Linked DNA regions of Kluyveromyces lactis. The protein of the gene in region 3 interacts with the protein of the main gene of each other region in a biochemical or structural test. Links are inferred from orthologs where the notes say so. Each region holds a gene or a part of one and is shown on either strand. Other genes may lie near its edges. The genes, in order: SPT15, ADA2 and SPT8.

Evidence for each region.
Region 1: the proteins of SPT8 (region 3) and SPT15 form a complex in vitro, tested with the Saccharomyces cerevisiae proteins (4 studies listed by BioGRID). The link is inferred for Kluyveromyces lactis from reciprocal best matches to the Saccharomyces cerevisiae genes SPT8 and SPT15.
Region 2: the proteins of SPT8 (region 3) and ADA2 form a complex in vitro, tested with the Saccharomyces cerevisiae proteins (2 studies listed by BioGRID). The link is inferred for Kluyveromyces lactis from reciprocal best matches to the Saccharomyces cerevisiae genes SPT8 and ADA2.

What each region holds. Positions count from the first base shown.
Region 1 is NC_006041.1:892,605-895,319, reverse strand, and holds SPT15 (TATA-binding protein), read left to right. Parts: upstream 1-1,347; coding exon 1,348-2,049; downstream 2,050-2,715. Other genes in the region: cohesin-loading factor complex subunit SCC4, read right to left, coding at 1-700; PEA2 (Pea2p), read right to left, coding at 2,419-2,715. UniProt on the Saccharomyces cerevisiae protein: General transcription factor that functions at the core of the DNA-binding general transcription factor complex TFIID. Binding of TFIID to a promoter (with or without TATA element) is the initial step in preinitiation complex (PIC) formation.
Region 2 is NC_006038.1:117,637-120,355, reverse strand, and holds ADA2 (chromatin-binding transcription regulator ADA2), read right to left. Parts: upstream 1,831-2,719; coding exon 523-1,830; downstream 1-522. Other genes in the region: snoRNA-binding rRNA-processing protein UTP6, read left to right, coding at 1-429; RPS17B (40S ribosomal protein eS17), read left to right, coding at 2,585-2,587. UniProt on the Saccharomyces cerevisiae protein: Component of the transcription coactivator SAGA complex. SAGA acts as a general cofactor required for essentially all RNA polymerase II transcription. At the promoters, SAGA is required for transcription pre-initiation complex (PIC) recruitment.
Region 3 is NC_006042.1:819,457-823,222, reverse strand, and holds SPT8 (SAGA complex subunit SPT8), read left to right. Parts: upstream 1-1,478; coding exon 1,479-3,389; downstream 3,390-3,766. Other genes in the region: putative ATP-binding cassette family ATPase CAF16, read right to left, coding at 363-1,184; GTPase-activating protein GYP8, read right to left, coding at 3,492-3,766. UniProt on the Saccharomyces cerevisiae protein: Component of the transcription coactivator SAGA complex. SAGA acts as a general cofactor required for essentially all RNA polymerase II transcription. At the promoters, SAGA is required for transcription pre-initiation complex (PIC) recruitment.

The DNA.
Region 1 (2,715 bases), on a different chromosome or scaffold from region 3:
CATGAGCTGTGTCCATTTCACTAAAATAAACCCACATATCAGCTGGTATGCTGATCCCTTCATCGAGACAGTAATTAATAAACGAACACATCACAACGAAATGGAATTGTTCATGGTTTTTGATCACGAACAGAATATCTCTATAATCAGCCAACTTCCTTTCATTGCCTGGAATCAACTGCAATCTAAAATATTGAAACAGCACTTTCCAAAGAGACGTATCGAGCTTTGATATAAGCTTGGATAGATTTCGTAGTGCAATCTTATTATGACTTGGATCATTTTTATACAGCGGGATCTTACAAAGAAGAACGTAATCCACATACATCTTCTCATTGACCCATGTTGTACTTTGCAACCTCTCTCTGAGTGCTGAAAAATATTGCTCTGCGAGATCAATGCGATGAGTCTCTTCAATCAATAACGTAACAAGATCGTTAGTGATCTGAAAATCTTGCTCTAATGAAAGCTGGAAACCGCCATCCTTCAAATATCGCAGACATCGTATAGCCTGATTTATCAATGTATAATACTGACGAAGTTCCAATTCAGTTTCAATTTCCGTAACAACATCATGTGCAGTCAAAGTGTACTGTTTCGAGAGATGATATATCAAATCTAACTGCTGTGCTTTTCTGCTCAAGGACTTTTGATCAAAAGAGATCGGAACGTTTAGCAGCTCATCTTTGAAGGTGTCCATAGCTAGTATTGTGTATCATACATCAATCGGAAGCTATTTTCAGCATGGGCATATGCTGTTCTTGAGACACGTTAATTGACGTGTATTATTCTAGGGCAAAATGGTTATATGAAACTTTGAAATATATAAGGGAACCAGGATCCACGACAAAAAGAAGACAATAAGTAAACCACCGATGTACTCAGATCGACATGGTATAACTTCATCAAATAACAGGTTTGGAAATGACATGATTGAACTGTTTACAAGTCAAAGAAGTCTACTCTGGTGATTCATCATCATACTAATGAAAATTGATCATGTGACCTAGCTTCATCAGATTTCTTTCCCGCTTACAACTTTTTAACATAGGAAACCAAATATAAATCGTAGAACAAGTAGGAAAAACCAGTCAACACACAAAGATTGCAGTTTTAAGTCGTGTATTTCTGAGGCAGCCCTTTAAGTTATATCAATACTTGTATACTATCTGCTACTCCTACACGATCTATTTTTTTTGAAGACAGTTTTCTTCTTTGGTTTTCAAGACTTTCAATTGTTTGGTGAAATACTTCAAGAAGCCATCTTTCAGCGTTCGTTTATTATCAACTGTTCCGAGTATATCGTATCAAGTTAAACTCTACTACCGCAGCTTAGCTTAGAAGAAGATGTCAGAAGAAAATAGAATGAAACAGTTCCAAGAGGAAAACAAGATAGTATTTGATCCAAGTACACGATCAGTATGGGAAACTCAAGAAAAACAAGAACATGAATCTTTACCTGGAACAGATGCTAATGCGGAAGACGCAGATAAAGGTTCTGCCACTTCGGGAATCATACCAACCCTACAGAATATTGTGGCCACTGTGAATTTGGACTGTAGGTTGGATCTAAAGACGGTAGCATTACACGCTCGTAATGCAGAATACAATCCAAAGCGTTTTGCGGCTGTGATTATGCGTATCAGAGAACCGAAGACTACTGCATTGATTTTCGCATCTGGTAAGATGGTTGTTACTGGTGCTAAGAGTGAGGATGATTCCAAGTTGGCTAGTAGAAAATATGCCAGAATTATTCAAAAGATTGGGTTCAGTGCCAAGTTTACTGATTTCAAGATCCAAAATATTGTCGGCTCATGTGACGTGAAGTTCCCAATCCGTTTAGAAGGTTTAGCATTCAGTCACGGTACTTTCTCTTCATACGAACCAGAGTTATTCCCTGGTCTTATCTATAGAATGGTGAAACCTAAGATTGTGTTACTAATTTTCGTTTCCGGCAAGATTGTCTTAACTGGTGCCAAACAAAGAGAAGAAATCTATCAAGCGTTTGAAGCTATCTACCCTGTGTTGAGTGAATTCAGGAAGCTATGATGTTTTATTGGATGGTACTATAAAAATTCATTTTTTTATTTTATTAAACAATGCACTAATTCGATTCTCGGAGGTTTTGTCTCGTCTTCTGCAAGAAAACCCTTTGTTCCTTCTATCTTTCCTTCCTTATTGTCTTTTCATATCCATTCTGCTATAATAGAAGTCTTTATTATTGGCACCTTACTCTATGTATCATATAGTTCATACACAAATTTAACGACTAATAGCCATCGGTAAATGGTTTCCAGCTTGAGTTTGAAATGGATGAGGAATTCTGTCTTAGATAATGTTACAAAGTTAATTACATTTCAACAATATATTGAAGTTTAATGCTAGTATTTTTGGATCGTTAAGGGCAACATAAAACGATTAGCGGTATCCTTTATTTTCCAACTTGTTCTCCAACTGTTGTCTCAACAGGCGTTCTTGTTCTAGTTCTTTTTCGTATCTTAACTGAGTATCAGCTAAGATTCGTTTAAATTCTTGCTTCATCATTGAGAAAGATTGATGGTTAGAAGCAGATGTTGAGGATTTGATGTCACTGGATTCGGAAATTGCTTGTGAGAAGGATCTATCGATATCCATTGGAATTGATTGCATCTGTGAAGTGACTTTCGATTTCTCCTCGCGCTCCTTCAACTTACTATGATAGTGTAAGAGCTCTTC
Region 2 (2,719 bases), on a different chromosome or scaffold from region 3:
TCGCAAGTCGATGAAGAGCTCAGCAGAAACGTTATGTCCTACCTGTTTGATAGATGCCTCGAGTATATCAACTTATTTTCGGAATTTCAAGATTTAAAAAGAGAATATCTGATAAATCACGTATTGCAATGGCTAAAGGACGAACATTATAATATTTCCCTTGAGAAAAGTATGCCAGAAAAATATGTGGAATTATTATTGCATGATGTTACATTAAATATCAAATTCATGCCTGCCGGCGAATTAAACATCGACAGTCTCCAATTGTCCTTCAAAAAGTATTCTGCATACATCAGCAAATTAGATGAGACGAATGCCAAACAACTTACTACATTATATTCTGGTTATTTGACCCAACATCTATTATCCAATATGGATAAATCTGATTCGAAGTATGCTATTTTGAATGCTATTATCAAGAAACTGTAATGAGACACTGTATACACATTTTTATGTACATATTTGACATTAAGTAGTAAGGTAAGCAGTGGAGCCAATATTTCCACAGTTTTATAACTCTAATTAAACCCAATTCTGAGAAACGAAGAAATCATAGATTCTGTTGGCCTTCGTTGCCTCGATATTCAATAAATCACGACACTGTTTCTTCGAGAGTTGACCTGCAGTCCGTATTAATTCTCTGAATAGTACCTCTTTGATGGCAATGTAAGGCTTTGGCAAAATTTTCAACGTTATGCATAACTGCTGTTCCTCAGCTGATAATAATTGGAAATCTGCCCCATGCTGAATGTCACTGATAGTCATTAGTTTCTTACGTCCACTTCCTTCGTTATAATTTTGAGCATAATCAGCTTGCGATCTATGGGCCGAAGTAGCTCTATAACGGGCAGTGTTACTAGATGAAGAAGAAGAGTACACTTGACTTCCAAATCTTTCCAATGTCATAATTCTTGCTTGTTTATCACGTTCATATTTAAGACCAGCTTCCAAAGTAGTGATACCGTTGCTCCTCCATTCTTGCAATTGATGAATTCTTGTTCGACACCGAAGTTCTTCCAATATGTCTTTGCTGAATTCTTCAAAATCCAGCGGGGACATGATTCTTGCGAAAGCCTTAATTTTGTTGTACAAATCTTTGGTTTCTTTTGAACGCTTCTTATCGAGACTTTGTAGTCTCCTGTATTCCATCAGACAATTGTCAAACAACAAACGCTTCTTTTCTGCTCTAGTCGTCAATCTCGAGTTGTAGATGTCAAGAATAGCCAACTTCACTTCAATATCTAACGGTTGATCATCGGCGTCGAAGACCATATCTTTGACCGGACCTTCGGCCTCATTCTCGAACTCCGTTTCGAATTCCAATCTACCTGGCATAAACCCTTGCACTTCATGGCATGACGGTTGTGATGCCATCGGTTTCCTAGGAGGTTCCAAAGGCCTTTCCCTAAATCTTTCCATGCGTTTCTTTCTTTTCTCCAAAAATTGTTCTTGCGGTTCATTAATGTCTTTTGTGATATCTGGAATAGGATAGTGTTCACTGTTCAAGTAAAACTTCAAATAATGATCATAAACTTCTTCCTTATCTCTAGATCCGATATGATCCGCAATATCTTGCCAGTTACCTAATCCCAGTGTCTGGGCTCCTTTTATCAACAGTAACTCTTCATCAGCGCCCCAATCCTCACAGAGAATCGGGTATGAGTTGGTTTCAATCACTTTATAGTCATGGCTTGGCCGGTGCTTACCGTTGTATAACCCTTTTGCGAAGCATGGCACACATAAATCATACTCTGGACACACCGCACATGTTATTCTGACTCTGTTTGTACAATCTGCAGAACAAATATCACAATGGAACTTGTTAGACATGGTGACGGTTGAACAAGGAGAAGCAGTTCAAAGTCAAACAGATGTAAAGCTAAATCACTATAACAGTTTGCGGGTCCTCGAAGTTAGTTATCTTTTTATATCAATGAGTTTGACTTATTCTTTAAACTCTCTTGAAATCACTTGTTGATTCTTTAGAACATCATAATTGAACTTTCCATGTAAACAGGAGAACAGAATGCGGGACTGTTACATCCTTACATTCTTATTAAGGATGAAAAATCTGAAAATCCTGAAATTCGAGAACGCTAATTTCATAAAATTTGATAAAACCAAAAGAGGAAATACTACTTGGCACTTCGTAAGAGAATTGGGACGGAGGGGAAAGGTGTGTGGACTGGTACTGGAAGACAGAATGTCTGTCTAGCTTGCTGTCATCCACACGAGACGCACTTTCGTTCCCGAGTCCCATCTCTGCCCACTTTGGATGCTACCACGCACTCTCTTACCAGCTGTTCCTTCGGTAACATTGTGTCCTCCAGTGACACCTTCTGCCTAGCTCTGTCCAGCTTAGTATTCCCTTTGCATTGTGCTTCGTTTCCGTTCCCCGGTTGTGAGTGAATCCTGGTTAGTCTGTTTGTTTCAACGTTTGCACCATGAAATTTCATACTGTCTAGTAATAATGAACTTTTAAAGATTACGGTAACATTTACAAGACCAATTGTTGACAGTACGTGTTTAACACTATTCTAGCATTTGAAACAAGGAACAACCGTAAGGACTAAATCGATACAAAATGGTACGTTAAGCATGATGATAACTGACAAATTGAAGCGAAAAGAACCATAAAGATAAGAGATTATGAGAAGAAGTGTTTTTCCAGAGCTGGATTGATCGGGAGACGTAGACTAATGACCAAAATCTACATTAA
Region 3 (3,766 bases):
TTTACGGCGTACTTTTCGCAAGTTGTGGCCTGTTTTTCTGTCGCCAGTTGGGCTTTGATGCACATTTCAGCACCACCCAGTTTCCTTTCTGGTACGGCAGTTTCTGGGGTTTCCTAACTGTTTTTTTTTATTCGCTTCGTATTATGCTTTTCATTCTTTTCGTTCCCTCGAGGCGAAATCCCGTAAACGACGTTATACGATTGGCAGCATTACGTTTTTTAAACGAGGAAGGGAGGGAACCTAGGCAATGGACCGATATATTACTCACGTGATTTATCTTTCGCTTTGTGTATGATTAAAGTCTGATTATGTATATATAGTATATTACAGACATATATCGGTTTGACCGTTTAGAAGTTGAATCAAAGCTTTTGGTCTTCGACTTGGTCTCTGGTCAACCAGTGGAGTGCAAGCGGGTATAAACTCTTCATGTAGCCTAGTATCACGGTGTGTCGTCCGTTGTCCTTTCGCTCTTGGACGCCCTCTATTTCCTTTGTAAAGTGGATATCACGTTGGTAATCCAACGTTCTTGTGATGGTGCCATCTTGCAAATGGATAATCTCATCAGCCCATGGTGCTAGCCCATCGAAAATGTGCGTTGCATACACAACGCTACATTGTCTGTCTCTCGTTTCTCGATCCAGGAATTGGAATAGACGGTCACGTGCCACGACATCCAAGTCCACAGTGACTTCGTCTAATAGCAGAACTTTGAAGGGTTTCAATAAACCCATGCACAGTTGTACACGTCTCTTTTGGCCATCGCTAAGTTTGAACATTCTCCAATTGATATCCACTTCCAAGATTCTCACTAGCTCTTCACCTCGAGCCCTGTAGTGGCTTAGTCCGATACTCTCCAAGAGTTCCAGGACTCCTATATCCCTGTGTACAATAGCCATACTAGCCCATTCAGTGCCTAAGTAAGTAGTCAGTATCACGGACTCCTGGTCATTGTTTGGTGCGAATGGGTTCTTGTTTCCAACTTTTATGTTCCCACCGAGACACAAATGTTTACCACTTAGTAGTTTCAACAGCGTAGATTTTCCAGCACCGTTGTTACCCACCACTAAGACTTTCTTGTTCCATTCGACACTTAGCGATAGATCGTGGATTGCTGAGCGTTTACTTCCGGGGAATGCGTACGTTAGATCGTGCACTTCCACTGCTAGGTCGTTCGAGGCCATTATTTGTTTTGGCTTGTAGTTTTCAAAGGTTTGAGTGACTTGTTCTATAGTTAGATACCGATTGAGCGGTGATTAGAAGCTCCGCCAGTGTATAATAGGATCGTTATCTTGTTGTCTCCATTTGAAAGTGTTCTGATTCAATTTGATATTTGGAAAATAAAACTGTTGATATTGAAATGATTTCAACCAAAATAAACCTGTCTGTACGAATTTAGGACACAGTGAATATGACAGGAAACACTGTAACACATCACAACAAAACATTGTCCTTTCCCACCTAAGCCACGTTCCAATATGGATGATGATGTGGATGAAATCTTGAATCAAAATAACGTTCAAAATACTCAAGATGATGATGTTGACATGGACGATGAATTGGAGGATGTAGATGTGGATGTTCCGAACGCCGAAGAGGACGAGCCGATGGACGAGGAAGAACAAGATGAAGATGCTGAAGATGCCGATGATGACGACGATGAGGATGAAGATCGGAGCGATGACGAAGATGCTGAAGATCGAAGTGAGGATGATGATGATGATGATGATGATGATGATGAACGCAGTGATGACGATGATGACGATGATGACGAGGAAGAAGATGAAGAACAGACAGAGAATGGTGAAGAGGGCACGAGAACGGGGGAAATTAAACAATCTAATACCCACGAAATTGGAGATGATGATGCCGAGAGTGCCGAAAAGGAATCCGCAACTTCTGAGAAGGATTCTCCATCTTCTTCAGATGGGAAATCTACTGAAATGTCAAAGCTGGATAAGATACATCAATATTATACGACTCTTTATAGATCTGCATCTGTAGCAGAATCTTATAATATACTTCCAACTGCAGCAATACCAATACAGACTAATGTACAGGCATTGACCATGTCCAAGGGTCTACGGTATCTATTTCTCGGTGGGTCAGACGGGTTTATAAGGAAGTTTGACTTCTTAAATACTGTGGATGGTAAGCTATCACTAACTATTCAGCAGAAGAACGCATTGGTGGATTCAATTGTCAATGCGGGTATCTTGACTTCTTATTGGGAGAATGAAGTACCGCAACCTCCGTCAAAAGTAAAATGGGTAAAACAAAAGTCGGAGTATCTTCCTCTCGTCTCACCTGTCCACTCCTTGGCGGTTCAAAATGAATGTTTGTTCATACTAGCCGGACAAGAAACTGGCGGTATCGTAATGCAGGGTGTTAGATATTTTGAAGGGAGGACTGCACACTATTTTAAAGGTCATAAATCCATCGTTAACCATCTTGTACTTAATGATGAGGAAACTAGGTTTTTATCGGGTTCTTGGGACAAAACCGTCATTGAATGGGATTTGGAAACAGGAACTGATATAACCAAGTTCAATGCTACATCACAGTTGTCTTCATTAGAATTCAGACCCACCAATGCCGCCTACGAACTTCCTGAGCCTAACTTGAGTGGACACAATCCTGATGTCGATAGCAATAATGTAGTTGGCAACGGAGATGCAGCTGATATCGATGATGTTGATACTAATTCATTGTTTGGTGATGATGATGATGATGATGATCAGGATGATCAACACGTAGCTACCAACGATAATACCGAGAAAGCTGAAGATAATACTCAACAAGAAAACAAAGATAAAAATGAGATACAAGAACACACATCAGAAAAGAAGGTCGAATCAGAAACCATTAGTAAGAATACTTTAGCTTTGAAAACGGATGAAAACTTATTTTTGACGTCTTGCATTGATGGTAATATTCAAATCTGGGATCGAAGACAACCCTCGAGCGAAATTATCAAACTTGGTCGTAATGTTTCAACACCGCCATGGTGCATGTCTGCATGTTGGTCAGTAGACGGGGGTAAAGTAATAGCAGGTAGAAGAAATGCTGTTGTAGAAATATATGATTTAAGAAAGCCCGAGGTAGTGGAAAGCAAATTAAAATTGCCATCAATTTCAGGACCCGTTTCTAAAGTGAAGGCAATGCCTAACAATAGCCACGTTGTTGCGGCATCTAACGATAACATCAGAATCTTTGATATTAACCATATCGATAAAACCCCACTTATTATTCCAGGACATCATGGTGGATGTATCTCAAATCTTTATGTGGATCCTACATGTAGATTCATGATTAGTACAAGTGGTAACCGAGGCTGGCAAGGTACAGCGACCGATGTAACTTTAATCTATGATATTGAACTAAATTAAACATTTGATGAAGCAGTGTTATAAGTATTCGGTAACCTGTATAAAATAAATACATGTTAAATATATCTGTATCATTACACGGAAGGCAACTAAACGGACTTATTACGGACTTAGCACCTTTTTCAAAGAATCTATCAACGAAGAACTATGTATAGTGTTGGTATGTGAAGAACCCACCTTGATTACAGCCGCAATTATGCCTATAACGAGAGACCATTTAACAAATAGTGGAATCTTTGGTGACGCTTTGACGATTTTCCTTGAAGCGTCCCATTCTATTTCTTTTGAAAGAACGTTTATTAATTCAGAGAACTCAATATTGGATACAGATATCAAACTACTGTATTTGTTGACATATTTTGCCACTCTAACCGTAC